4 separate regions of the Mus musculus genome follow, and all the other regions are reported to be linked to region 1. The links are microRNA targets in miRTarBase. Many come from high-throughput screens and were not tested one by one. Region 1 holds a microRNA gene; each other region holds the end of a gene's coding sequence.
The links. The annotated mature microRNA mmu-miR-1298-5p reads UUCAUUCGGCUGUCCAGAUGUA and lies in region 1 at 4,912-4,933, shown strand. An mRNA with a match to its seed (bases 2 to 7 or 8) in the 3' UTR can be bound and repressed. Matches are read on the target gene's strand: a 7mer-m8 pairs with bases 2 to 8, a 7mer-A1 pairs with bases 2 to 7 and ends in A, and an 8mer does both.

Region 2: miRTarBase lists Fermt2 as a target of mmu-miR-1298-5p. Seed matches in the 3' UTR shown: 7mer-m8 at 4,927-4,933.
Region 3: miRTarBase lists Gramd1c as a target of mmu-miR-1298-5p. Seed matches in the 3' UTR shown: 7mer-A1 at 1,229-1,235.
Region 4: the mRNA of 4930563E22Rik is a reported target of mmu-miR-1298-5p. Seed matches in the 3' UTR shown: 7mer-A1 at 3,699-3,705.

The regions. Positions count from the first base shown.
Region 1 is chrX:147,060,007-147,067,129 of GRCm38, forward strand. Mir1298 (microRNA 1298) reads left to right here and starts at 4,899; the gene lies at 4,899-4,996. All of the region lies in intron 2 of Htr2c (5-hydroxytryptamine (serotonin) receptor 2C), which reads left to right.
Region 2 is chr14:45,454,099-45,461,221 of GRCm38, forward strand. Fermt2 (fermitin family member 2) reads right to left here. Exons shown (of 15, transcript NM_146054.3): 15 at 4,694-5,925. The coding sequence ends at 5,752. Among named protein-coding and RNA genes, the nearest start is that of Gm34250, 11 kb to the left of the region's middle.
Region 3 is chr16:43,975,571-43,982,693 of GRCm38, reverse strand. Gramd1c (GRAM domain containing 1C) reads left to right here. Exons shown (of 17, transcript NM_001359085.1): 17 at 556-2,344. The coding sequence ends at 636. Zdhhc23 (zinc finger, DHHC domain containing 23) reads left to right here and starts at 2,885. Exons shown (of 5, transcript NM_001007460.2): 1 at 2,885-3,235; 2 at 3,518-3,786. The coding sequence starts at 3,644. It overlaps Gm46552 (a long non-coding RNA gene), which reads right to left and starts at 2,821. Exons shown (of 2, transcript XR_001781930.1): 1 at 2,456-2,821.
Region 4 is chr11:72,214,638-72,221,760 of GRCm38, reverse strand. 4930563E22Rik (RIKEN cDNA 4930563E22 gene) reads right to left here and starts at 6,623. Exons shown (of 1, transcript NM_001163728.1): 1 at 3,311-6,623. The coding sequence starts at 6,430. The coding sequence ends at 6,041. It overlaps Med31 (mediator complex subunit 31), which reads left to right and starts at 6,169. Exons shown (of 4, transcript NM_026068.2): 1 at 6,169-6,800. The coding sequence starts at 6,773.

The DNA of each region.
Region 1 (7,123 bases):
TTTCCATCGTAGTGTTAAAAATGTTAATTAAAAGTCTGTCTCTTTTAATTACTCCTATTTCTTTGTATAATAAGGCATGGCTGGTCACTGATTATGCCTTTTGTCTCTAAGGAAACATTGTATGACTAAGGTGATGCTAAGCAAATATATATAGAGGGGGTTTTCACTCCCTTTCTTCCTACTTAGCACTAAGTGTCTTCTTGAAAACACTGACGAGACAGGGAATTATTACAGGAATTTGTACTTAAAGGATAATGGCAGACGTTTGGATCAGAAATATACTTTAACTGCATTGTTTCCAGGAGACAATAAGATCAAAATACCCAAAAAGCACTAAAGGCCATCAGTTGGAAAGTATGTGTTAACTTAACAAACCGCTGGTTATTTGCTGACTCTTATCCTGACTGGATTGCTAAAAGATGTGGATTGCAGCTCAGGGTGGTTCTGAGGTAGTTCAATATGCAGATGTAAGTGACCAAAGTGTGTATCAGTGGTGCACAAGCGATGGAAAAGCTAGGATTTTGCTCTTATATATATATTTTTTCACTGTAAGAAAAGTTCTCTTGAGGTTGAAGAACTGGCTATGTTCAGATGACAGCACCCAGGTCAAAAACCAAATGGCTTCTCATGTCTATAACCCCACTCTTTGTGCACAAACATGCAAACGTGTACATGTAACACACACTATATAGACACACCATGCCACACATACACATCCTGCAATAAACACCACACATCTAAAAGAAATAATTTCTTCTTGTATGAGCCATTTATTTTCATGATGTAATTAATTCCTGACTGAAAAACTGTTTGCACAAGTTAGTGTGTGTAGGAATACATCTCACTTAAGTAACAAGGAAATAGTATTTATTTCAAACTCAGTTCAGTACAGATGTAAGCAAATCAGACTTCATGATGTTAAATTTTATTTTATGATAATACTATTTTCCTTTGAGATTTTAACCTAAGTTTTTTTTAAATAAAATATACTCAATGGCTGACCTTAACACATTAATAACCTTATTTGATTTTAAAATTATATTTGTATTATTTAAAACAATTTTTAAATTTGACTATATTTTGATAATGCTCTTCCCCTTCCCTAAGTCCTTCCAGATCCTCTCCTACTCCCTATCCACCTAACATTAAGTTCTTTCTCAAAAACAAAACAGAACAAAACCTAATCAACAACAAAACGCCCCAAACCTATAAAAGATAATGACCTTCCGTTGTTACTGTACTTCCCTGGAGAGCTTAAACAAAAGACCTTAAGCAATCAGATACTGCTGTTAAGTGGAAAAGGTGGCACCCTCAAGAGTCTAATATGTTGATATTAGACATGTCAGTCATCTAAGAATAACTTCTCAAGATATTATCATGACAGCTGTTTTTTTTTTTTGTAATGATTATTCTATTTATTTACATTTCAAATGTTATTCCTTTTCCCAGGTCCCCTCTCCCAGGAACCCTGATCCCATCTCTCCTCCTGCCACTTTTATGAGGTTGCTCCCCCACCCACCCATCCACTCCCACCACAACACCCTGGCATTCCCCTACACTGGGACATCAAGTTTTCACAGGTCCAAGGTTCTCTCCTCCCATTTATGACAGACAAGGTCATCCTCTGCTACATTTGCAGCTGAAGCCATAGTCGCTCAATGTCTACTCTTTGATTGGTGGTTCAGTCCCCGGCAAAATAATATTTTTGCCTTGTTTCCTTTTGTTTGTAACAACAGAACCCTTGGCATGTGAAGGTATTAAGAAATAAAAACTTAGATTAAGAATAAAATAATGATTTTTTAAAAAATTTTAAGAAACAGTACTTTTAGGATACAACCTGAGATTACATCTCATTTGAACATATATTTTCTTTTGAAAAAATTTCAAAAACATATATAATAGTGTGGATAAAAGTCAAATAATTTTCTATGTCCCCATATCACAGAAAGTAACTATTAGGATTCTATACCAGTTTAATAATCTATTTATTTCTCATTTTTTGTTAAATAATTTCACACTATGACATCATACAATTCTAAAATTCTGAGTATATTCTTATAAAACTGCTGTGTAATTGTCACACGCAGCAATTGTTTTTTTTCCAAAACTAAAATATTTTCATTGTTTATTTCTTTACCTTTCTTCTCTCCAACCCATCCCATGTTCTTCTTCCCCTTTACTCCCTCTCAAATTCATGGCCTCTTTTTTGTTATGTTGTTCATATATTAAATACATCATGCATACATACATACATGCATACACACAGCTAGATAAATTCATATACTGTTACTTGTGTGCTTTCAGGCCTGACCACTTGGTATCAAGTAAACTGTTAGTAGAGAAAAAAATCATTTTTCTGAGTGTAAACATTCCTTAGTATCCTTTCATTCTTTGTCTAGGCCTAAGTCCCCATGACACTTTCCTTTTCCATGTTAGCATGTCTGCAGCATGCCTAGCAATCTTTTTTTTATGTTTGTTTATTTATTTATTTATTTATTTATACACTAGATTTTATTTCCCCCTCCCTGTCCACCCTCCAACTGTTCCACATCCCATACCTCCTCCCCTTGCCCCTGTCTCCACAAGGATGTCCCCACCCCACCCCCACCCCCAACCTAATCAGACCTCTAAACTCCCTGGGGCCTCCATTCTATTGAGGGTTAGGTGCATCTTCTCTGACTGAACCCAGACCTGGCAGTCATCTGCTGTATATGTGTTGAGGGTCTCATATCAGCTGGTGTATGCTGCCTGGTTGGTGGTCCATTTCTAAATGTGCTCAAAGAGCTTCGCAAAGCCATATTAAAGTTGTTTTCTTTTGCTTTAAAAAATTATCATTAAACCAAACTGCAGGATATGTTAATATTTTAACAAACTTACCTCCAGTTAGTCTGTATTAGACTATGAATCTGTGTAACAGCAAACCACATCTCTGCTGCATTTGAGTGCCTAGAAAAATCATGATTTGGCTTTATGTAGAATAATCTTTCAATGAAATGTAAAAGCAGGTGGGCTGGAGAGATGGCTCAGCAGTTAAGAAAACTGACTGCTCTTCCAGAGGTCCTGAGTTCAATTCCCAGCAACGACATGGTAGCTCATAGCCATTTTTAAAGGGATCCTATGCCCTCTTCTGGTGTGTCTGAAGACAGCTACAGTGTACTCACGTAAATAAAAAAAAAAGATATATAATTCAAAAAAATTAAAAGCAGGTGCTTCTGTTATGAAGATGCTGTTATTTCACAAATGGGACCACTTTCCAAGATATTCAATTATAACTCTTTTACATGGGTTTTAATGTTAGGCAAGTCAGTTCTTCCATTTGAAAACGATGATCAAACATATGCAATCATTTGATGGCTTTCGGACATCATGACATGGTCTCACCTTATGAGACTATGGAGCTTTGGAGGGTAGTGATTTTAAAAATGTGCATTTAAATTACATTTATTTTGTTCACCACCTGCAACACACAGACACAGGCATGGGTACATAGACTATTACTCACTGAAATCATAAACAACAGGATTAGTGTTTATATTGTTCTAAACTTCTTGGCATACTGTATTTGTATACTGTGTGGTACAGGGAAGAATAATTTACAGAATTCTCTATGAAACTGTTTAGAGAAATTTTAAGGTGATTATATATGTATTATAAGTTACTTGAAATGTTAACTTCAAACACAGACAGGGAAGTTATAAAATAGGCATATCTGTGTCTCTAAATGTTGACAACATATATTGCAAAGATTATGGACCTGATGCAAGAAATAAGAATATCTTCAAAATTGTCCAACAAATCACCAAAATAGTAGAAAAGTCCCCAAAGCAGTAACAGATTTGGTACCTCTCAACAGTGTTCCTCGGCCGTCCTAATGCTGCTACTCTTTAATCCAGCTCCGCATGCTCGTCTGTCCTCCACCAGTACAATAATTCCATTGCTATTTCATAATGGTAATTTTTCTACTGTTATGAATCATAATGTAAACAGCTGTGTTTTCTGGTAGTCTTAGCCAAGCCCTGGAAAAAAGTTGTTTGACCCCTTCCCCCCAAAAAGTCAAAGCCTACAGGTTGAGAACCACTACCCTCGCTGAACTTTAAGATAATAAAATGGAACATGGGTTTTAGAATGCTACACTACCAGGCAATACTGCTTAAAATGCACTTTTCTGTGATTATTTTAGTCACAGAATCTTTCAAGTCAGAAAATTATGAATAGTAAACTTTGTCTTAATGTTTTTAATAATTGTATGTGATCTCCTAAATCTTCAGTCTAAGAAAGAAGAAAAAAATAGATGTTAAAGACTGCATGCACATTGACTTGCAGAATAGATGGGCTGTGTGATGAAAATATCTCCCAGATCACTCTCAAACTCCTTTTAAATCAAGAGGCACATTTATGTGTATTTCATGTTTCACATTGAGCTGGCAATGGCAAGAAGTATCTACCTGTAATTTTCTATTTCAACTTCATAATAAAATGGGGGATGCACTGGATTCAAATAAATTTGATGATTTATTCTAAGCTACACTTCAATAGAGTAACAGAATCAAGTCTGAAACCACAGCATCTAGTACCCAGTGTGCTATGTTATAAAACATATTTTTAAATGTAAATTATGCAAATTCAATTTGCCCATTGCGTTTTCTGTACTTGTCATACATTGTTAATGTTTAGCATGAGCCTTTCTGTGTAGATATTGTTGTTTGTTGGTGATTTAAACACACTTTCTAGTAATGTGTTATACACTGGTGGCAGAGATTGCTTTTTCTTGCTGTGAAACTCTCAAACTTGAAAGACTAATCAATCTTTCAATGCCAAAGTAGTGGTTTTTGTTTACTTCTTTCCCTCTTTATCCAGGAGTATCAAAAGCTGGCAAACTGAAGAAGTGTTGGAGAGATGAGGGGTTAAGAGTTCATTCGGCTGTCCAGATGTACCCAAGTACCCTGTTATTTGGCAATACATACATCTGGGCAACTGATTGAACTTTTCGCTTCTCTTGACTCAACTGGAGCATCTGCAACATTCAAGGCCTGCTTGACAGCCCAAACTGTGTAATTTATTAATCAAATGAGACCCAGGGAGCAAGTGCTGCCTGTCAGTAAGGGGGCATCATTGTAAAGCTAAGGGGGAAATGCATTTTTGTATACAGCTATGCTGGACTGTAGTATGTACTTTGACAAAACTAAAGGGAATGAATTGTTTCAAGTGTGTAAAACAAACAAACAAAAAAGTATTGTCACCAGTGATACTTGTCAATTGCCTATATTGCCAGTGTAAAATAACTGTACTTGTGATAAGTAACACTAGGACAGCCTATGAATACATACAGCTATAAATCTGCTCTATTTCCTTCCATTATTCCTTATCTTATGCAATTCTCTCTCATTCACAGCAATGATCCACTCCTGACATGGCTTATTGCTTGTTTGTTGAGTTGGAATGTAAGCTCTGTGTGTGCAGGGCCTTTTTTTTTGCCTTGTTTTCCACGCTGTGTACAGCATCTGGCTGAGAGCCTAGCATATAAAAGGAAATCAACAAATGTTTGAACACAAAGAAATTTGGTTGTACAGTTCTCAGTCTTGCAAGTCAGTAGGAATTTATCTCCAACACATACATTAACATATGGTTTCCCCCTTAGTACTGCTCTTTACAAGTTTTTTGTTGTTGTTTTTGGTTGTTATTGTTTATTTTGCTATAAGGATACTTAGGCTGAGATAATTTAGGCAGAATTCTCCTACCACCTATGGAGAAACAGCTTCAAATTGCTGGGCATGCTGCCCACTAAGACAGATTCCCTTAATGTTTGTTATTACAACTGTGGAATGATTTGCATCAGCAACTTCAGTTCTATTAATTTAGGAACTATTTTTGGAATATTATTTTAGGCGAGTGGAATAAATTTTGCTATGGAAAACTTACTACCTTAAATGCTGTTGATTTGAGGAGTTCACTGTATTATTTGGTTGGTTGGTTGGTTGGTTGGTTGGTTAGTTGGTTGGTTGGTTGGGTTTTTTTTTTTTTTTTTGCATTTTTTAGATTTAACAAAAACTGTTTTCATGTGGTCCTAAGGTTGTTGCTCCCACATGAGGACTATGCCGTCCCAGCATCACAAAACAAACGACAAACCTCCCATAACTTATACCAAGCAGAAGAATTTTGAAAACACAAATAAAGAAAATATTTCATTTGCAGTCAAAGTACAAGAGGGAAAGTTCTATATGCCTCAATACTCCTTAGTATTTTCTGAAGAGAAGAATGGGGAAGTGTAAACATTGGTAACAACTGTTTTCAAATTAAATAATCATATTGGTGTTATGAGATCTAATGAAATGTCCAGAAAAGGCCTCAGGTACCATTCTCCGAATGTTACCACCTGTTTTAAAAAAGAGAAATTACAAAATCCTCCAGCATATATGACTATAGTGTCAGAAGTGTCCTCTCTCCTTTTTGTCACAGTCTAGGGAAGCATCTAATTTTAGGTTTGAAGCAGTGCATTCCAAGGCAAGCCTAGCAAAGATACAATAACTGTCTTGAGCCTGAGGTGTAGATTCCCCTCCTTATGTATTGTGGGAGTTTTCATTTCCACTGATGTCTATTAGCCTGGGGTGCTTTTGCCTGGTGTAAAATAACATTTCCTAAAAGAGCAGACTGCTGTACAAGGGAGGGTTTTGAAATTACCTCTGATGAAAGTTGTTCTAAAGAACATCAACTGTCAAACTTGTCAAAGTGACTTAAATATAGACCTGCCTGAAGACAAGGAACTAAATTATTTGAACCCTTATAATTTTTTAGTCTCAGAAGTTCTGTGAATTCAAGCTTGTAGAATAAGTTAAGACCTTAAAATTTAAAATGGCGTATTTGGTTTCATTTAAATTCATAGAATGCATTTCTAAATGAACTTACCATAACTGAAGCTCCTGGGTTCACTGGTAGGAAAGGGTTTCAATTGATTGTTGTCTCTGAAGTTTTTCCACCAAATCATAAAGAATGACATCATGTTACTATTCATAGCAAACATGAATTTTTTGAATGAAGAGTGCTTTATTACAAAATTGCTATAGTAAACATTTAAATTTGAAAGGAACATTAATTTAATATGCCTTAATCCTAAGAATGAATATAT
Region 2 (7,123 bases), not on the chromosome of region 1:
CTTGGCAGCAGAGGCCAGAATTGGGGACCAGGTATCCAGGAGCAGTGTGGCTGCTGCTGAGACCACTCCCTCCCCCTGGCCTTCAGTGACTTAGTACCACTGTTACACATGGGACATTAGCACCCAAAATGGTCTCTCAGTAGTTTGGAGGTTGTCCAAATGGTGTAGTAGGGTGAAGTGCTTGCCACATGAGCCTAACAGCCTCAGTTAGATCCTGAAATCCAGGTAAGGGAGGAGGGGGAGGAGGAGGGGGAGGAGGAGCTTCATGTGCTTGCTCCTGCCTCCTCAATAATAATAAAAATTTCAAAGCACAGCCTGCCCACTACAATGACAAATATTTGCCATTTTTCACTGTTTCAAGCCCTCCATGTTTAAAAGCGAGTTGTATTTTCTGCAAGGTGGAACCTGTCATTCTTCATTCTACTGTTCCGTGTGTTTGTTTACAAGTCTTTGCTGCTTTAGGTAGTGAGCTGTCTTTTTTTTTTTTTTTTTTTAATCATTTTTAGTTCAGTGCTAGATATTGCCCACAGGACTCTGCGGTGGGACGTGGTGCGGGAAGTGGGGAAGGCTCCTGGGTAGCTCACACTGACTAGCCTTGAACTCACTAACACAGGCTGGTCTTGAACACTTCAGATCCTGCTCCCTCCCTCCCTGGTGCCAGAATTACATACAGGTTTCCCAGCCCTTTTGACTTTTTGCCCCGAGGTCTAACTAATTTGCTCATTGTGATTCTCCTGCTTTAGCTTCTTGAGCAGATGGGATTACAGACCTGTGCCACCACAGGGCCCTGCATGCCCTAGAACCTGTTTCCTGGTGGGCACGAGGACACACTTAAGTTTCTCCACATCCACGGTGGAATTGAGAGGGCCTAAAATGCACAGGATGGCAACAACCGTTTCTGGGGACGCTATAGTTTATAATTGCACCGATAAACATCCTGTTACCCCAGTAACGCTTTACTCTGTCAGATCTTAACCATTTTACTAGTACCACAGGCAAGAGACTACTTTAAAATTGGTGGCTGGGATGTAGCTCAGCAGCAGAGCATGTGTCTAATACACGAGGACCTCTGGGTTGGTTCTGTCCTCTGCACTTCACATACAAAGCGCCCATTTTCCAGAATCCTGTGCAGATGGACAGCTTTTCACTTCAGGCTTCCTTTCCTCCCTTGTGAAATGAGTACCTTAAGGGTTTGTGCATTTCCTCTGGATTGGCCTGTGTGAGCACAGACAGGTGTGCACATCTGTTTATAGTCTCGGTTCTCTTGTCCAGCCAATTATATGATGCAAATACCTTCTCCACATTTTCTGCTCTGTTGATTGATTTGAGAAAAGGCTTGGCTTTGTATAAGCTTGGCATCTTCCGGCCTCTCCAGTCAATGCTCTCCTCTTCCAGCTTTGATTTGCTGTCCACTCAATACTTCCTGCACTGTGTTGTCTCACAGACAGTGACACGTAGGACACATAGGCCAGGATTCTTTAACTCGGATCACAGGAGCATTTTTCCAACTTCAGTCCTTGGTCCACCTGGAATTGATTTCGATGACTGCATAGCTAGACGAGGCTGTGGCCCAAGCTCTTTGGGGAACTCTTTTGTGATGATCTCAGAAACAAGTAGCTGTCCCTACACCCTTGGTTCCAGTCTCTTTTGACTGCAGTGTTTCCATCATCTCTGCCAATGTCGTGCTGTTTGTGGGATGTTTGTTTGTTTTTTGAGGCAGGCTCTCACTATGTAGCCTTGGAACTCACTATTGTCAACCAGGCTGGCCTCTGTGTGCTAGGGTCCAAGGCATGCCAGGTGTGCACCACGACCCCACACTTTCTGTGTTTGAAACTTTAAAGTTCCGATACAAGCTGGGCGGGGTTATTCTGGGATTCTCATGCTCGTGTTTTCTGCTTTGTTCACACTCCTCTCACCCACTGTCCTATTTGGCAAAGCTGATTCCCTCGGCTGCTTGTTATTTCTCAGGAGCATTTTGACTCTTCCAAGTGTTCTGAGCACTGAGTCTGTAACTAGGCAAAAAGCTGAGAGGCTGTGTAGCTACCAGTAGGATTCGGAGTCTGTGTTTTCACTCGATTTTAGAAAGCCGGACATTAGAATTCTGTGCTCAGAATGTTTTCCTATCATGCATTTGCCACATTGATTCAGACATGGCTTCAAAGTTGTTTGGCTCACTGTGCTGTTTGTAATCATAAATGTAATTAACATTGAGCCTGGTCCAGTTCCCGGGGCAGTATTGTGGATAATGCCTGAGCAGCAAAGCCACAGGAGACTATAATTAGATCTCATGAAATAATGGTCTCAAATTATTTTTAAGTGCTTGTAATTTTTAGTAATACTTAGGCCAAAGCACAAACAACAGAAGGGACACTGAACAGGGAGCGACTCTACTAAGAGGAAGGGATATTTGACATCTATATGCTTATCCTGGGAAACTTGATTTTGCTTAATTAAATGTAGTGGAGGAATGGCACAGTGGGAAATCAGGTCACTAGATAAGCCTCTGACTTCTGTTTCCTGTTCTGGGTGGCTCTGCAGTCCACTGAGAATCTCCCTGCCCTTCCCCTGATTTCCCATTTCCTGTTAGTTTTCTCTCCCACCTCCCCCATTCTTGAGCTGCCAAACCACATCAGTTTGAACAGATAAAGAAAGCCTCCGTTAATTTGCTGAACAGCTCTGAGCTCCTGGGAAGGGAAGGGGAGGGGAGGTGAGGGGAGGGGAGGGGAGGTGAGGGGAGGGGAGGGAAGGGGAGGGGAGGGGAGGGGAGGGGAGGGGAGGGGAGGGGAGGGGAGGGGAGGGGAGGGGAGGGGAGGGGAGGGGAGGGGAGGGGAGGGGAGGGCGGGCGGGCTTCCTGAATTGCTGTGTAAAGGGCCCCAGTGGTTCTTCTGCAGGGTAAAAACTGGATCCATTTCTATTATCCCAGACTTTTAGGCCTATGCCTATAGCCTCCGTGCTGCGGCTATATGGCCAGAAAGGGGCACTGGCACAGTGGCCACAGGGCATGGCAAGGATCTGAGCCGGTTCCGGACAGGCAGTTCCGATACACGCTGGCATAAAGCAAAGGCGCAGATCTGGAAGGCTGTCAGGCTAGGGATGGTCCCATGTGTCAAGTGACTTGGATACAGATATAGTACAGAGACGCTGAAAAAACTGGTTTGCTACTGTGTTCACTACTGCTAGTGTTGACTTTAAAATACAGAGCATTGGTGTCTTTCAGCTAAGGGCCAAGAACCCAGGCTGGCCTCATTCTTCTTTATCACTACTGATTTCAAAACCTTTTAATAAGGCACAAATCGCAACTAGACAACACAGAACAGAACAGTCTGCCCTGTCTTTGCCGCTTGAATGTATGACATTGGAGAGATAAGAATGGAAAATGTTGTACCGGGCGTGGTGGCGAACGCCTTTAATCCCAGCACTTGGGAGGCAGAGGCAGAGGCAGGCGGATTTCTGAGTTCGAGGCCAGCCTGGTCTACAAAGTGGGTTCCAGGACAGCCAGGGCTACACAGAGAAACCATGTCTCGAAAAAACCAAAACCAAAAAAACCAAAAACCAAAAGAATGGAAAATATCTCTCAAGGTTACAAAGAAAACTAGTTTATGTGGAGTTGGCAATACTACACCAGAAGCTTCTAACAGGCCACTAGCCTGCTGCCTGAGAAGAACAACATTTGGATGGAGTTTGGTTAATATCCTGTTCCCATGCCCTTGTGAACAATCACAGGGAACAGAAACTCGAATGCAGGTTCTGGGAGTCCTAGACAGTGTTCTTGCAAAACGCTTTCTTGATAGAGGCTGCTGGCGACAGGTGTGAGGGTTACCAAGGCTTGCTTCCCATATGACTGGACAGAGGTGCGAAGCCAGGTCACAGTCTAGCTTTGCCTTGGTTCCCATTAAATGCAGCCATCTGTTCAGAGAAGGCAGAGTCTGCTTGGCTGCAAGGAAACTTAGAAGTATTTATGGAAGAACAGCTATAAACTAAAATTTCTAAAGGGAGACATAGATTTGGACAGAGGACAGGGTATAGGGCTAGTAAATAATATGGCAATGGGATGAATGGCTAGACCAGCAGTTCTCAACCTGTGGGTCCTGACCCCCCTCTCACAGGGGATGCCTAAGACTACGGGAAAATACAGATGTTTATATTATTATTCATAGCAGTAGAACACTACAGTTATGAAGCAGCAAAGAAAATAATTTTATGGTTGGGGATAACATGAGGAACTGTATTGCAGCATTAGGAAGGTTGAGAACCACTGGCCTAGAGAATGTGGCTGTCCAGACTGCTTAAGGACAAATGGGCCCCAGGGAGATGCCCCAGCTCAGAGGACCTGGAGCCTGAGCTTCTGTAGCACAGGGCACAGTCATCAGAGCTTTAGGTAACCAGGGCAGTGCTACACCAGGGCTCAGCAGGCAGGGCAAGCAGTGGTGGTGGGAGACAGAAGAGGTGAGCAGAGCTGGGTTTTTAGAAGCTGTCTTGGCCTCACAGGCACGGGACTGACAGAGGTGGCAGCCAGGCCCATGATGAAAGTCTGGAGTCTAACTGAATAACCACAAAGGTCTCTCAATGCCGGAGAAAGGATGTCTCCTAGAGAGAGAGAGCTCTTCATCTGGGACATGGCCTAGCACTGGCGGGCTGTTCTAATAACACACAGTGTTGGGAGAGTTGAGAGAGATCAGAAGTACAAAAGAAAACATTAAATAAAAGGTTTTACTTTTATTTAAAATAAAATGCATTTATACAGTCTTTAATTCATGGATTATTGGACAATACTGGTAAGTCCACCCCTCCCTGGCGCCCTTCTGGGCTCGTGAGCTAGGAATTGTCTAACTAGCACCAACGCAGATGTAATAGCGCAACAGACTAGAACACAGCCGGTCCAGGCTGTAGTTAAGGGCATCACGGCAAGTCACGAGCATCATGAAGTCATTCGTAATTTAGCAGATACTGAAACTGCAAATTAATTATATATTTTAAAAGCACTTAATTAATGTAAGGATGCTACATTTAAGCCATTTCCTAGTTGTGAATAGTTTTTTTTAAAAAAAACTGTACAATTTTATAAAATTTGTGTTTGTACATTAGTTACACAAAATGAATACTTCATAGATCTTTACTTCATATTGTAACACAAAGGCTGCATATCTTAGGCAGATAGTGAGTATGCTGGTGAATACTAAGAGTACTGTAATACAGTTTGGTGTAAAACTAAACACAAAACAATGTACAGCATGCTTACTCAAAGACAAAACCCACCCAATAACAACAGGTTAGCAGTGTTTCCTTCAAGGTCAACAGCATCAACAAATACCAAGCATCCACTGTAGACCGACTTTATACTGGGAGAGGGGATTAACTGGGTACCAGGAGCAGGGTACTTTAAAAGAAGGCATCAATTAAACACAAACACATGCATTACACATGATAAATAGACTTCATATAGGTTATATGTATGCCCTGGGTGGCTTGGTAGATGGCTTGTTTCTTAGTTTGGTTACTGTCAGTCAGTGACAGCTTTCCGTGGCCCTAAGGACTGTTGGGAATTCCACAGTCCACATACGGCATATCAAGGTAGGCAGCAGATTAACAATCGTGCTTGTTAGTGCACATATGTACTGGTCTGGTAAGGCAAAAAGGTATCATGATAAAATAATAAAGTTCAAGCTTACTTTATTAAGCAGCATATAAGAAACAATAGCTTTAAAGTTAAATATTGTTATGGCTGTGGAGTTTTATTACAAGTTTTCCTATTCACACCCAACCACTGGTGAGTTTGTAGAACATCTCCTCATCTAAACTTTCATTTTGGTCTTTCGCACGAGTTGAGAGAAATATGTAACCACCAATGAATTCGTGGACCACCTTGCAGTCTACTTCGGTACAGATGAAGGACAACCGGACCTCATCTGCAAACTCTACAGTGACCTGGAGCAAAGACAAAGAACTGTCAGTTCCCCGGAAGCTTCCGGACTTTAAGTTATGGTACTCCACCCCGCAGGGACGTGGGAACAGCCATCATGTCAGTGATGTCATAGGTCTAAACAGTAAGAAAAGTGTATCATCCCCACATCCCTTTCGTTTGCAAGTTCTCAAGGCGTTTACGTCGTTAAGGTCCCGAGTGGTCTCTAGTGATGCAATTAATGAGAATGGCCCTCTTTAGGTCCTGGGAGAAAACTTACTTCTTGAGTCTTATTTAACATTCGCTTCAATATGTAGTCTTTAGGTATCAAGCTTAAATATTTCAGAACGATGTGTATTTCTTTTTTTTTTTAAAGATTTATTTATTTATTATATGTAAGTACACTGTAGCTGTCTTCAGACACACCAGAAGAGGGCGTCAGATTTCGTTACGGATGGTTGTGAGCCACCATGTGGTTGCTGGGATTTGAACTCCGGACCTTTGGAAGAGCAGTCGGGTACTCTTACCCACTGAGCCATCTCACCAGCCCCCGATGTGTATTTCTGATAGCAGCTGAATACAGTGTATCCAATATATGCCAAGCAAAATCGCCTGCCAGTGAGCCGGTTTTATATGATCACAATGTAACAAAGAAAAGGGCACCAAGCTACATAGTGGGATGCGCACCAGGTTTTACAGACCCTGCTGCGGCAGTCATCAAGTGTGTGGGCGTGGACACTAAGCAGCCCTTAGGCTTCTAAGTGGGAGCGTCCTCATTTGTGAAGTCCAGGCAACCTGCCTGCTTTAGAAGGCTGAGGTGAGGCATAGAGGCCAGTGTAAGTGCAAACGTCTAGTGTCATGTCTGACCCCATAGAGGAGGCACAGGACATAACCTCTGACTGCTGTTTCGAGAAGCTGTTACAGAAAGATATCCTTAAGTATGGATGGTAAGTTCAAGTGAGAAATGAGTAACCAACCACATGGTCTGCACTTTAAAGATTATTTTTTACTATCCATATTTTTAGAGAGTCTTCTGTATTTTGTAGCCCAGGCTATTCTCTCTCTCTCTCTCTCTCTCTCTCTCTCTCTCTCTCTCTCTCTCTCTCTCTGTATATATATGTATACATACACACACACACATACACACACATATATATATACATACATATGTATGTATGTATTTTACGAGTACATGTGTTGTGTCTGCATGTATGTCTGCAAGGC
Region 3 (7,123 bases), not on the chromosome of region 1:
GTGTGAAATTGGTAGTGCTCTGGGAGCTCAGAGGCAGGGCGTTTGGGGAAGATCGCGTGGGGTCAGTAGGTACAGGTACGTTTCAGAACTGGGAAGAGAATCTTGAGGGGATTAGGAAGACATGGCTCAGTTGTGGGGCTCGATGTGTTCAGAGAAGAATGGAAACACTACTGAGACTTGAGGAAGGTCTAAGAAAACAAGTCTTTCCCTCTGGATAATGAGAGAGGCTTCCTGGGAAGTACATTGCATGGAAGGCTATATGGCCCTTAGTACCTGGTAAGAACTCTCTAGAATTCATATAGCACATACTGGAGAATCAGGGATTGATGATCTAATTTATTTGAGCATATCTATATCTATATCTATATCTATATCTATATCTATGTCTATATCTATATCTATATCTATCTATCTTTCTATCTATCTATCTATCTATCTATCATAGATGTTTGAATCAAATACATACATTATATGTTTATACATATACTCATATATCTTTTGGAGTAAAGTAATTGGCAAAAATTGAAGTCTGATTCTTGATCATTTTGTTTGCAGCTGAAGAGCTCACTCATTATGCTTCAAAAAACCTTTGATTTACTAAATAAGAACAAGTCTGGGGTGGCTGTGGAGAGCTAGTGCTGAAATGTGGAAACCAAAGAGACATCTGGACCTAGAAGGCAACATCTGGAAGGAATCGGAGGATGAAGACTGTCACTGTCATAAGGACATTTCTGATATTTTTATTACCAGGATTTCTACCAGGAAAGCTGTATTTAAATAACATTTACTCAATGACTACTCTCCAATAGCCTTAAGACTCTATCTTTTCACTTCTTATAGATACTTTTAAGCTGTGAATTTCTCCAGTGAACCATGAAATATATTTTGGAATTGAAATTCTGTGACACAAAAGGGGAAGGAAGGCACTGTGGGTAGGATGGCTATTCTTCTATAGTGAGGCTTGCTACTTGATCCTTTAAATTTATGTTAGCACAGAGTCCCTGTGTGCCCAGGGTGGGGGTGGGGGGCTGCGTTTGTAACTGAGTTTAAGAGCCTAAAAAGGTAAGAAGAAACCCCTCAATCATTTATCACCTTAAAGGATCGTTTTCCAAGTGCATACATTCCAGGCTTGTATCTTTAAATTTTACAGTGCCTTCCTTGACTTGGCCTCAAGGCCAATGGTCAGACCTTTTGTATGTCCGAAAGAGTCATTGGCCATGTTGTATCTGAATGAAGGGATATATATGTATATATATACACACATATATACATGTACATATATATACATATGTGTGTGCATATATGTATGTACGTATAAGTACCAAAGGTGAGATTATCCTTTATATATCAAAAAGACTGAACAGTAATTTAGGAGAAGGAAGTATATAGGACATCAATGCTCATAATGAACTACTTTCAGTTTTAGAAGTCGTAAGATTATTATAAAATCTGGGCATTCCATGACAGATCAAATTGAGTCCATGAGTAATGCTTAGATTCAGCTTAGCAACACCCATGATAGAGGTGGCCCATCAGGTAGAAAATAATTAATCACTTTTCAGTAGCAGCTAACTTGTCTTGCTGGCAAATTATAAGCTGGACACAAACTTGCACTCAGCAATAAAGACTGGGGGGCATGCAAGCTGACCGGAGTTGAGAGGCGCAAGCTTGGGCTCTCGGGAAAACCACTCAGGCACTTGTGTCAGCACCAGTGGTTTGTGAAAATAAGGACTTGGCGACTTGACTTGAAATTAGCTGCGTCCCCCGGGATTTAGGAAATGTTCAGGACGTATTTATTGTTTTGTTCTCTAGCTGTCTTTCTAGAACACGCACATATATTTATTTTTATTGAATATCCATTGCCTTTAGTCAATGTTTCCTTTCCCTCAGTGTCACCAAAGCCAAATGTCATTGCTAACAATGTTTTTGAGACGCCTGTAGGGAATAAAAATACTGGCTAAAGGGAAGGGTTTCTCTTCATGAATCCTAACTAATCTCCCTGGGGCAGGGGGCTTCGGAGTAATACCTTCTGTTCTGTTCTGTTCTGTTCTGCTTTGTTTTGTTCTGTTCTGTTCTGTTCTGTTTTGTTTGTGATAAGAACATAGGAAGTCTCTGGCTGTGAGTTTGAGTGACTGGATTAGAAACTTCAGATTGTTAAATTTAGAAAAATGTTAACTGTCAAAGTGAATGCTTTTGTGGTTTCTCTTAAAGCACTTCACCATATACCTCAAAGATTACCAACGTCACTTTGTAGATAAAACACTAAATATGTACGTAGAATTAATGAGATCTTAATCTGTTATGTATGGATTGACTTCAATAAAACCGGAAATGTTTAAGTTGTCGTTTTTTCTTCTGTTTCTGCTTAAAACCAAACCAAAACCTAGAAAGCCTGGGGTAGGGAAAACCTGTACGTAGGCCCATAGTTCTTACAGATTTGTGCTGCAATACAAACCCAGAGGGGACTCTCTTGGGCAATTTCATTGCAAATGTGCAGACTACTGAATCAAAAGTACCACCGAGGCCTGGCTGGAAAGCAGCTCCATCCTCCAGGACTCGCGAGCGAGAACAAGTTGGATAAGCCGGGCTTGGGGTCCACAGCGGGCCTCAAGGGAAGGCGGGCGACTCGTGGGGTGGCACCTCTGAAGGCGGCCAAGGTGCGGATCGAACCCCAACGCCTGTTGCCGGCGCTGGAGGACCGCAGGCGACCGGCGGAACTCTGGCGGCGCGCGAGCGCCGGGGTCCGATCCCGCACCCCGGCGGCACCGCGAGGGCCCCGGCGCAGGTGCGAGGTGGCCCGGCCGGAGCGCGGCGGGGGAGGGGCCTCGTGGGCAGGCGGCGCACGTGCGGGCGGCGGGATCCCGGCGCCGGGGGCGGGGCACCCGGAAGCGCGCGCCGACCTGCGGAGCGGCGACCGGGGGCGACTGGCTCGCTCGGCAGGCGCGCGCACCGGCGGTGCTCACAGGTGGGCGACTCCGCCCGGCACTCCCGAGCCTGCCGTGCGGGGTCGCAGGCTCAGCCGCGCCCAGGGGAGTCGGTCCTCCTCCCGGTCCCCGCCTCTGTCGGGAGGGCAGGTAACTTCCCCGCCAAGGTCATTCTCCAGGCCCGCCCACGCCCTCGGAGCGGCGGGTTCGGAGTGGGCTGGACGGGCGACCTCGGGGCTGCTGGGGCTCCTGGCATCCCCGGGCCGGTGGGTGGTTGCAGCGCCAGGGCGTCGCTGCCTGCACCTGCGAGGGTGAGTTTCCACGGCGCGCAGCCTTGGGGTGGGGACAGCCCGGCCCTTTGAGCCGGCACCCTCAGGTGAACTGGGCCGCCCTAGCTCTGCTGTCCCGGGCCGCGTGGTCGGCTGTCGCCATGGGAACGGCTGGTGCCCAGATGTTGCTAGCCTAGCTGGGAAGGGGAGGGGAAGGTGCTCAGAGCCCCAGAAGTCAAGGAACCCTCCTGTCAGGCCACGCGGAGCCCGAAAAGCCTGATGAAAGCAGGACCCTTCCCCCCTTTTCATTTTTTTATTGCTCAGGCGTTGGCGTTAATGAGAAGCAAGGATGTGTTTACAGGATGTGAGTTGAGTTCTTGCCACCTTTACCTTCTGTGAGCTTCTTATGCCTCATGGTGACAGGTACAAATCCGTACACTAAAGGGCAATATGAAGCCAGTCAAAAAAAAGAAAACCGAAGAACCTGAATTGGAGCCCCTGTGCTGTTGCGAATACATAGATCGAAATGGGGAAAAGAACCACGTGGCTGCCTGTTTGTGTGATTGTCAAGACCTCGATGAAGGCTGTGACAGGTAAGCTTACAGTTTCCAGATGCTGACCCCACTGGTTCTGTTGAGACCTACATATGTATATATATTCCTTCAGGTTTGCCGTCCAGAATGCTGAGGTTTGTTCTTGCTATTCCAAAGGATCTAAAATAGAGGATTGGTTTTTTGCTGTCAGGTGTGAGGATTTTAACAGTTTTCATTTTAAAGGATCATGGAGGATAGTAGGGTAGATTAGATGTATATAAGAACGCAATCCAGCACACACACTGCAAGTTTAAATGGACACTCCAGAAAGTTCTGTATTTTCAGTGATCTTAGTAGGACCCATGCATGGGGTTGTTCTCACGTGGTCACATGAACTTGAAGGGTAAAAGATAGCTTCTCTGTTCTCAGTTCACCCTGTATTTCCAGAGAGAGAGGCCATGTACACCTTGTGGGGAGTGACTGTTTTTCTGTGTGTAGCAACACAGTCCTGGTTGGAATATTGTCTTATCTTTGGCCTTTACTTTTACCACAATCTCAGCGATGGAGATTGCTATCTAAAAAGAGAGTTTTTAACCTCTGTTAAAACCAGTTTGTATCAAGCAGCAATAAACTGCTTTTAGCCATTTTTCTAAATATATATATTTTAAACATCTGCTTATGGAAGGCATAAAGTGATAGGAAGAGGGATGTTGGAGACAAGCTTTTCCCAGAAATTGTCCCTTCTGGCTACACAGTCATGGTGACTGTAGATTGTTAATCAGGCCAAGAACAGCTTTGCATGGGGACCACTGCAGTCTTCTGTCACTCTTGACTGGTAAAGCCCATTACCTCTTTGTTCCTTGTCTCTTTCTATAGTATTTCTTTTTAAATAGGTAGCCTTAAATATAGCTTCTTGAGACTTAGTCTAAAATCCATCCTGAGGAAAATAGAGCACTTTGCACTAAGGAATGGAGAGTGTATGCCAGTTCCATAATGGCCATCATTCAGGAAGGACCATGGCTTTGCCACTAACTTTGCTAACTCTTCCTCTCTCCTAGCCCTTGGGGCCTGAGCTGTCCTGAGTTCTCTCCTCTGCCCTATCTTTTTTCCTGGAGACAGGCTGCCCTGTTCCCACCACTCCTACTACTCTCTGACTCCAGGTGATATCTCCCATTCACTTTAAGGTGTGTCGTGCCTTTAAAAAAAAAGCCTACAGTTATTTTTACCTAAACTACCTTTTCTTTCTCGCCTGTCTTAGTCCACTTAGGCTGCTGCAACAAAATACTTCAGAGTGGGTACATTACAAGTGATGGAAGTGGACTGTCTACGGTTCTAAAGGTGGAGAAACCCAAAGTCCAAGTGCTGGCAGATTTAGTATCTAGTGTGGCCCCTCTTCCTCATGGGTGGTATCTGCTCAGTGTATCCCCACCCAGCAGAATGGATGAAAACCCTGCCTTTCTTGGTCTTCTTTTGTGTGGATGTTAATCTCATCCACAGTGTGTTCTGTTGACCTCACACTTCCCAAGAGCCCCACCTCTGAATAAGATTGCACCGAGAGTTAGGTTTGAACTACATGAATTTTAGCCACTAATATTGGATCATTTGCAGTCTACCTCTGCCCCCTCCAAAGAATGTCTTCACATGAAAAACATACCCCGTACCTCCTAACAACCTCCAATATTTAATCATTCAAATGTCAGCACAGACATCTTAAGTTTCCAGAGTGGTCTGGGTGGCATCGAGTAAATCAGAAATGGGTGAAACTCATGAAGGCCTCTGCATGAAGCTGTGGGCCTGTGACTAACAGGCTGTTGGCAGTAGAGAGGTTAGGAGTGCTTCTTGCTCTTGCAGAGGACCAGGGTTCAATTCCCAACACCCACGTGAATCTACAACTGCCTGTAATTCCAGTCCCAAGGGAGCCAACATGGTCCTCTGACCTCAGTGGGTACGAGGCACACATGTGATACATGGTATATACATGTAGGCAAAACACTGTACACATAAACTAATAAAAAGTAAAGAAGAAATAACAGACTGTGAACTTTCAAAACACAATAGTGGGACATTCTTTGAAAGACATTCCCAGGGTGGGAAAGAGAAATGAGAAAAGGAATGGCACATCCCATACCCACAGGACAAATGACATGTGTGATGCAAATATCCTACCTTCCAGACACAGTGCTGAGCTAGAAGTATGGCTTTGCTCCTACTGTAGCTCTCATGCATTGGAGTCTTGTGGTTGCACAGAGCTTGTGGGTGGCTGGCTCCACCATCCTGGGTCCTGGTCAGTTCTTCCCCTACAGCTTTCCTAGGCATTGCCTGGTGAGGCTCTCTGCAGTGGTCCCATACCCACTGGTACACAAGGCAATGCCCTCATGAGGGCTCTGTGGTACTTCTTGGCCTCAGCCTTGACATTCTTTGGGACATTGTTTGACATCCACGTGGATAGAGTAATGCCTCCACAGCTCTTGTATTTTTTGGGGCTGTAGAACTGGGAGCAAATGATGCCACCCACATTTACCGCTGATGCCCTTGGGAGTAGAGGCCTCAGTAGTTTACATTGCACCTGGGAGTATCTGTGGGACGAGGAATGTGGGGAACAGAGATTTGATGTGGTACTAGGGAGTGGGTCCTGAAGTTTCATGGGCGTTCTGAGCCATTTTCTGTGAAACCATGCTGCCATTGTGTACCTGGCATTGGAGGCTTCTGCCTGGAGCACAGTCACACCCAGAGCTTTAAAGGGTCATCCTCCTGTGGTCTTGGTGCATACCCCAGGGCCCATCCATACTGATCTCAGATGCTCTCCTCCACACAGGCTTGCAGTTACTGTAAAGACAGGTTCAGAGGCCAAGAACTTTCCAAGTCTTCAAGTTATGTTTCCCCTTTGGTTATACATTTTTTTTCTTTAAAGTCAGTGTATGTGTGTTATATGTATTGTGTGTGTTTCTGTGCACACACACATATGTGCTCCTGGTGAAAGTGTTTGATGTCAAGTGACTTTCTGAATCGTTTCTCTGCCTTATTTTTTGAGACAGAGCCTTTCAGTGAGCCTAGAGCTCCTTTATTTTGGCCAGAGTAGCTGACCAGCAAGTTCCTGGAATCCCCCTGTCTATTCCCCTCACTCCCCACAGCACTAGACTCTAAGTGCATATCCCCACGCCTTTTTATTTTATAACGCATGTGCCTGAGTATGCATGTGTGTTCCGTGGCTTTGATGTGTAGGTCAGAGGACAACCTGCCAGTCGGTGGCCCGTGAAGACTGAACACAGGTCGTCAGCCATGGTCACAAGCACCTTTATCCACCGAGTCACCTTGCCAGCTCCATGTCCAAATTTTCACACGAGTACAGAGGATCTGAATTTGTCCCTCTTGCTGTCATGGCAAGTGCTTTGCCAAC
Region 4 (7,123 bases), not on the chromosome of region 1:
GCAGATGAGGAGCAGAGACTGGGATGACTACAGCTGAGAAACTCAGAAGGACCCTACAGAGCATAAACTGCAGACTCTGAGAACAGATGACCGGCTGCTGCTGGTGTTCTGAGGTTAGGTTTAACAAAACGAATTCCTCAAACAGAAAACTGACAAGTGTACTCAGCTACTAAGGGAAGGGAACTGCAGCAGCCAGGGTGAAGTGTGGTTGGTTCTGAGAGTTCACAGCATAGGAGGCACAACGGAGACAGCAGGCAGGAAGAAGCTACTCTGGTCTTCTAGAGAGAATGCGCCCCCTGGTGGCTAAATGGCAGAGCCACGCGTAGCAAAGCAGAAATTGAGGTTTGCAGCCAAGGGGTAAACTCTAACTGGTACATTGATAATCAGCACTTATATTTAAGCTCACACACCCTCCTAATCTTTTTGTACTTAACTATTTCTCACAGAAGAAAATGATATTACCATCTCCTCAAAAAGAAACAATGAGCCAGGCAAGTACATATATATGTAATCCTGGCATGCAGAGAGCAGAGACAAGATCAAGAGATCAAGGCCAGACTGGGCTATAGTGGGGGCTCTGCTCTGAAAATGAGAGAGAGCAGGTCAATATAGTAATTGTGTCCATGGCAGAGACTGTGTGATATGTTCTATTTCTGCACTATGATAGCTACCATAACGATCTGCTTACCACCTGAATATCCTGTTACCTAGAAAGAAAACGGTAATGTTAGTTTCCAGGACAAGCTATGTTAAATAATAAGGAAGACTTAAGGCAGAGGGGAATATCAGGCTTCTCTCTGGCTTGTTATGAGTATGAAAGTAACATAAGCTATGTGGTTGCCCTTGTTTACTGCCCAGAGAGAGGTTTCAGTGTGAGCACTGGGGAGGAGGGAGCTGTGGCAGAGTCCTCTCACGGTCCTGAGTTAAGGAGGGGTAACTGAAGGATGGAGAGCTGAAAACAGGGCCTCATCTAGAAAGAGAACTTCAGAGACTGCACAGGTGTCTACTGAGCATTCGGCTGAGCACTGACCACTGCACGTGCTAGGGCAGGAAACTGAGAACAAGGCTTGTCCCCCTAGCCAACACCTAACTTAGGGATATCCAGAGAAGACAGACCCAGCTTTTGTCTCAGAGAACATTAACTGTTCACTTAAAACTGATCTGGACTCACAGAACAGATTTAAAGTAGATATAAAGGACAAACTGCTTGCAAATAACTTGTGACTAATGCAAAGTTCAAGAATTATAAAAATGCCGGGCGTGGTGGCGCATGCCTTTAATCCTAGCACTCAGGAGGCAGAGGCAGGTAGATTTCTGAGTTCAAGGCCAGCCTGGTCTACAAAGTGAGTTCCAGGGCAGCCAGGGATACACAATGAAACCCTGTCTCGAAAAACAAAACAAGAACAAACAAACAAACAAAAAAAGAATTATAAAAATATGAAAACTAAACAACACTCAAAAAAAGTTAAAATTTACTATGCCTTGCATACAAATATCAATAACCAGGCATGAAAAGTAACAACCACAAAATACAACTCATAATGAGAAGAAAAATCAATTAATAGGCAATGTCCCAGAGATTGTACAGATGATAGGATTAAATAAAAATAAACAAAATCATTATTAAAACAAAATTATATATGTTAAAAGTAATGGCAGGGCAGGCCAAACATGCCAAAAAGATATAAGGAATTTGTGGAGGAATTTGTTTATGTGTGGAGGATATTTTAAAAGATTGAAGTTGAACTATGAGAGATAAAAATGTTTTAAGTGAAATTAAAAGAAATTTAAAACCATACATGGTATTTATGATAGGCTATAGATTATAGAAAAAACATTAGTATAAACATGAAGACAAAAACAACACAAAATATCCAGTGAAATATGAAGAGGAACAGAAGAACATCAGCTTCCCATGGCTTATCAGACCCACGATTTACACCCAGAGAGGGGCAGGGAAAAACAGTGGAAGGAATAATGGCCTCCAAATTTTATGAATTTTATGAAGACTATAGAGTCAAAGTTTCTAAGAGTGTAAGCAACCCCAAATATAGGACAAAGGAAAGAAATGACACCAAGGTTATTATTATACCAGGGTGCTCCACCAACAGTACAGAGCACACCTTGACAGAGGCCATGGACACCTTGGTGTGGAGGAACACAGGCGAGGCTGCTGCCACTGCTGCTGTGGGAACCAATGCAAATCAGGAGAGTCTGAGCAATGTCCTAAATGTGTCAAAGAGGGGAAGCAGACTTCCTAGCCTGTAAGCATGTGCTTCACATGTTCTCCTCCACAGCATCAGTGAGAGGAAAGGCCCGAGCGGTGACCACCAAGCACTGGTCAACGTCATGCTAAAGGCAAAGTAGCAAAGCCACTGCCAAGAACCTAGAGGACCACTGAAGACCCAAAAGACACTCCCGAGCTGGGAAGCCACTTGTAGAAATGCGCCTGCCTCTGCCTCCCAAGTGCCGGGATTAAAGGCCTGCGCCACCACGCCTGGCGGGACAGGTTTTCTGTTTTGTTTATTTCTGTTGTTTGTTTTTTTTACAGTTATGCAATTCTAAGCATTGATTATGGTGCCATCCAGGCCTTGGATATAAGCATTAGCTTTCTTAGGATGAGATCAATAGAACAAAGGAGGGAACAGGAATTCTGTAAAATCTAGAAAAAGATGTGAGAAAAACACCTCGTTAATTGAATTTCTGGTTCTTCCCATGGCCTGCTTAGTCTGGGGAAAGAGGATCCTGTCAATGCAAGCCTTAAAAATTTTTTAAATTAAATGTATGTTTAATGTTATATATTGATTTACTATATTTAAAATTGTATAGTATATACTTTTATGTCTATTATAAATTATTATGTATTATATATTAAACTATATAAAATATTATACACACATTGATATATGTGTGGAGGTCAGAGGACAACTTTTGGGAGTCTGGTCTCTCCTTCTACCATGTGAATTCCTGAAATCAAATTCAAGTTATCAGTTTCGGGGGCAGGCACTGTTACATTCCGAGCCAACTCAGTGGCCTTGCCCCTTTTTTATTTTTTATTTCTCTCTCTTTTGCTTTATTTTTCGAGATAGGATCTTGTTATGTAGTTTTGACTAGTCTGGTACTTTTTATACAGTCATATAGTCCTGGCTGGCCTTAAACTCATAGCAATCCTCCTGCATCAGCCTCTCCTAGTCCTGGGATTTCAGGTGTGCATCACCACACCCAGCCATTTCTTTTGAACGCAATAGGCAGTAAATATTATACACCACTCCCAGGTAATATATGAAAAAGTATGAGAATAAGAAGTGACTTCTTTACAAGAACTTACATTTATTTAGTTTTTTTTTTTTAAACTAACCTGGCTGACACAGCTGAAGGCAAGACACAACTATTACCCAGCACAATAAATCCAATTATTAGACTGTGCCATTAAAGGCTTTCTCGACTGCAAATGGAGAATATTACTCTTCATTTATTATTGTTGCACATGCTGTCTTTAACACTGTGTAACACATGCCAGGTACAGCAGCTCTATTTCCTACAGAGAACGATGAGGAAGACACACAGCATGGCTAACAGTAACACACACATTTACAAAGTACAATGGGTACATCAACAATTACCTTCATTGATGTACACTGTCATTTTGAAGCTGTGGAATGTATAATATAGATTTATGGCAAAGGTGTTTCATTACATTCATTCTCTCTCTCTCTCTCTCTCTCTCTCTCTCTCTCTCTCTCTCTTGGAACATGAATAAGTGAAATATGGAGGAAGAATCCTAGATAAAAATAAGACCAGGACCACAGGGAATCTACCAGGATCCTTCCCACGCCCTTCCTGAAGCATCAACGATCCAGAAGCAGGCGCCTGGCTTTCCCAGAGTCACATTCAGCCAGTCTTCCAAATACTACTAAAAGAGGAAACAGAAGCAGTCACTAATGGAGAAAGGTCTGGACAGACAAACACATCTCTGACATTATTTCCAGGCTAGTAATGGACAGGAAATATAATATCGTATTAACTGTTATGTTGATTTATTTTGTTACATTAGACACATACCACTTTTGCAACAAGAAGATAATGAGGAACACAAAGAGAAGCAACTGCTTTGTTTGTTTTTTTATCTGTTTATTTAAGGCACAGTTGGCCATATTAAAAAGAATTAGTAAACTGGAAAAAACTGACAATTCTTTGCTATTAGCTAATTCTTTGATACTAGCAGTTCTGTGAGGCAGACAGGCATTCAGGTAGCCTTGGGGTAGTGATGGTAGTTATAACATCAACATCTTTAGCAGTTATGACATTTCTTCTGACCTGCGCCCCCATTCTGCGGGGACAGTCCAGTACACTCCCTGGGACTAAATTAGTGCCTGGAAGTAGTAAGTGCTCTGACTCATGAGGAGTCCTGCAGAATCAGCATCTGCAGCCTTCTGTTCTAGTGGCAAGTAGCACATGCATTATTAAAGCAGGCTAGAGAGAGGGTTCCTTACAGAGCAACACATCCTCTTCCTCTGAGAACGCTTGCTTTTGTTCCTCACCGGAAGATGCTCTGAACACACTTCCATGACTGTCTTTCAGGCTTTTCCGCAATTCTGCTATGCAGAAGTCAGGGGTTTGCTTAGTGCACCACCCTCTAGCAAAGTTGCTAGAAACCTCAATGTTTCTCAACTTCACCAATGACTTGCCTTTCTCAGCACAGCGATTCTTTGTTGGAGGAGGGACAGGGTGTTGACCTGGGCACCATAAGATGTTAGCAGCATCCCTGGCTACTAGGCACTTGAGGCAAGCAGGAGCACCTTCCACGCTGCCCCAAACACACACACTTCTGGAGACAAAATCATTCCCAACTCGGTTACCAATGCAACTTCGATGGAGAGGTAGTTCTAAACTGTAAACTGCAATACGCACTTTGCTCCCTTGCACTAAATTCTTTTGATGATCTCAGAATAAAATTCAAGCTCTTTACTGTAATCCCAGAAGATTTCCAAGACTCTATATGAAGTGGCATCTTCCTCCTTTTTGTTTTCTTCCTTATACCACGCTCTCATATACTAACTGATCTTTCTCTTACATAAACATCTTTGATTTTTAAAAAAAATGTAGACTTTCCCTTCTGTCTAGAATGCACTTCCCTCTAGATCCTGATATGGCTCACTGTCCACTCACACAAATCTCGGACCAAATGTAATCAGCAAGGCTTTCCCTGACCATATTCTCTAAAGAGTTCCCTACTCTCTACCACAAGACAGACAGCCTTTCCTTCGCGGGAATACAACAGCATGTTGTCTTACTTTCCCCTTTGTTGCATGTCTCTTCATTAGAGGAAGATCCTAGTCTTTTCCACTGCTCTAGCTGCCATGCTCTAACTACTACCTAGCATGCAGTAATACTCAGTTACCATCCTGTCAATCTCACGCCTCAGGCCAAGTGTCATGGCTTCTTCTTTACTTTCCCTTCCAAGATTATTAATGGTTTTATTGATTGTTTATTAATTGTCCTGTTTTTTCCTATACCCCCTGATTTAATTTTTTAAGTGTGGGTGGAATACTATGTATGACAACATGAGAAAATGTATAATGAAATATAAGTATTAATAAAGGCCAATTAATAATGTATGAAAGATGATACCTTGCCCTGTAGGTTTCAAGCAGGTATATGATCAGGCCAGCGGTCAAGAATCATGACAAGTTTGGCCCCTCTTTGCAAATTTCAAGTCGTCAACACATCCTAGAGTGACCTAAGACTATAAAACTTACCTGGTGTAGAGACTCAAAGAATCTCATTGTCCATCAGCCAGGTTTATACTGCACTACCAGTCTGAAACCTTCTGTGCTGGCTTCAAGTTAATAGCACACTGGGGTCAACAACAGGATGGTCTAAGGTGCTGCAATGTCAATACATGTTAACAGCCCCCAGAAACCACAGCCTGTTTCTTACACTGATTTATGGGTTCTTTCCATGAAACCAAAGATGCTCGGTTCTCCTGGAAGATGGCTGGCTGGCAACTCTTCAGTCCTGGCTAAGGACCTTTGGCACTTCATCGAGCCATTCTGGCACTCTGCCTGGCTGGGCTCTCAACACGGTGCACAGTAGTCTCCACCCTCAGGGATGACGACGCCCTGACGTGGCGGGAGGACGTTTCCGTGCACTGCGAGGAGGTTTCCACGTGCTGGGAGGACACCTCAAGGAACTGAGGGAGTCGCTTCGTGGAGGGGGTGAGGGAGGGCCCCTCTCGGTGGCGCTGGGAGGTCTCCACCTGCCGGGAAGACGTTCGAACCTGCCGGGAGGACGTCTCCACGCGGTGGGATGACGTTTCCTCGCGGTGGGACGACGTCTCCACGCGGACAGTCGATGTCTCCTTGTGGCGGGTGCTTTCCACTCGCGGGGCGGAGGACTTGCTCCTAAGGGGCGAGGCCATCCTGCCCATACACCTTGGTCAGGTGGGACAAAGAGGCCCAAGGATCATGCTCTGCGTCACGTCACACAGGGAAAGGTGACGTCAGGGTGGTGTATTACGTCGGGGTAGGTAGCAGGACTCTGAGACCTAAAAAATGAGAAGTCCTCCGGCACGCCCCGCTCGATATCTGCGCGCGCAGCCGGCCGGGTCTGCACAGATAGGTGGGGCTAATTTTCCCATAAGTGAGGTTGTCCCCGCCCTCGTGTCCCACTCTGCCCCGCGACCGGAAGTAGGAGCCGTGGCTTCCGGATTCTCACCAATCGAAGTCGCGGTTCGGTCGGGGCTGGTGGTGTTCGCCTCACTCTGATTGTTATGGCCGCGGCCGTCGCTATGGAGACAGGTACGTTGTGACTTGCACCCCGAGTCTTCACCCCAAGGGAATGGTCCTACGCCCCGAAATTCCCTCCCTTTTCCCTTTTCCTGCGCTGTCTTTCGGGTTCAACTTGGCATCCTTAGAGTTGGGACCGGCGGAGGAGAAGGCTGTGCTGCTTCTCAGACTATGGTCTGTGAAAACATCTTTGCTCCTGGGTTGCTCAAACCCCTACTCCAACCCTGGCTCTTGGGGCCGTGCAGGGCCGTGGGAGAGGACTGAGACCTTCCACTGTCTGTGCTGAAGGTACTCCCAAGAACTTGCCCGAAATATCGATAACCTGTGTATTCTAA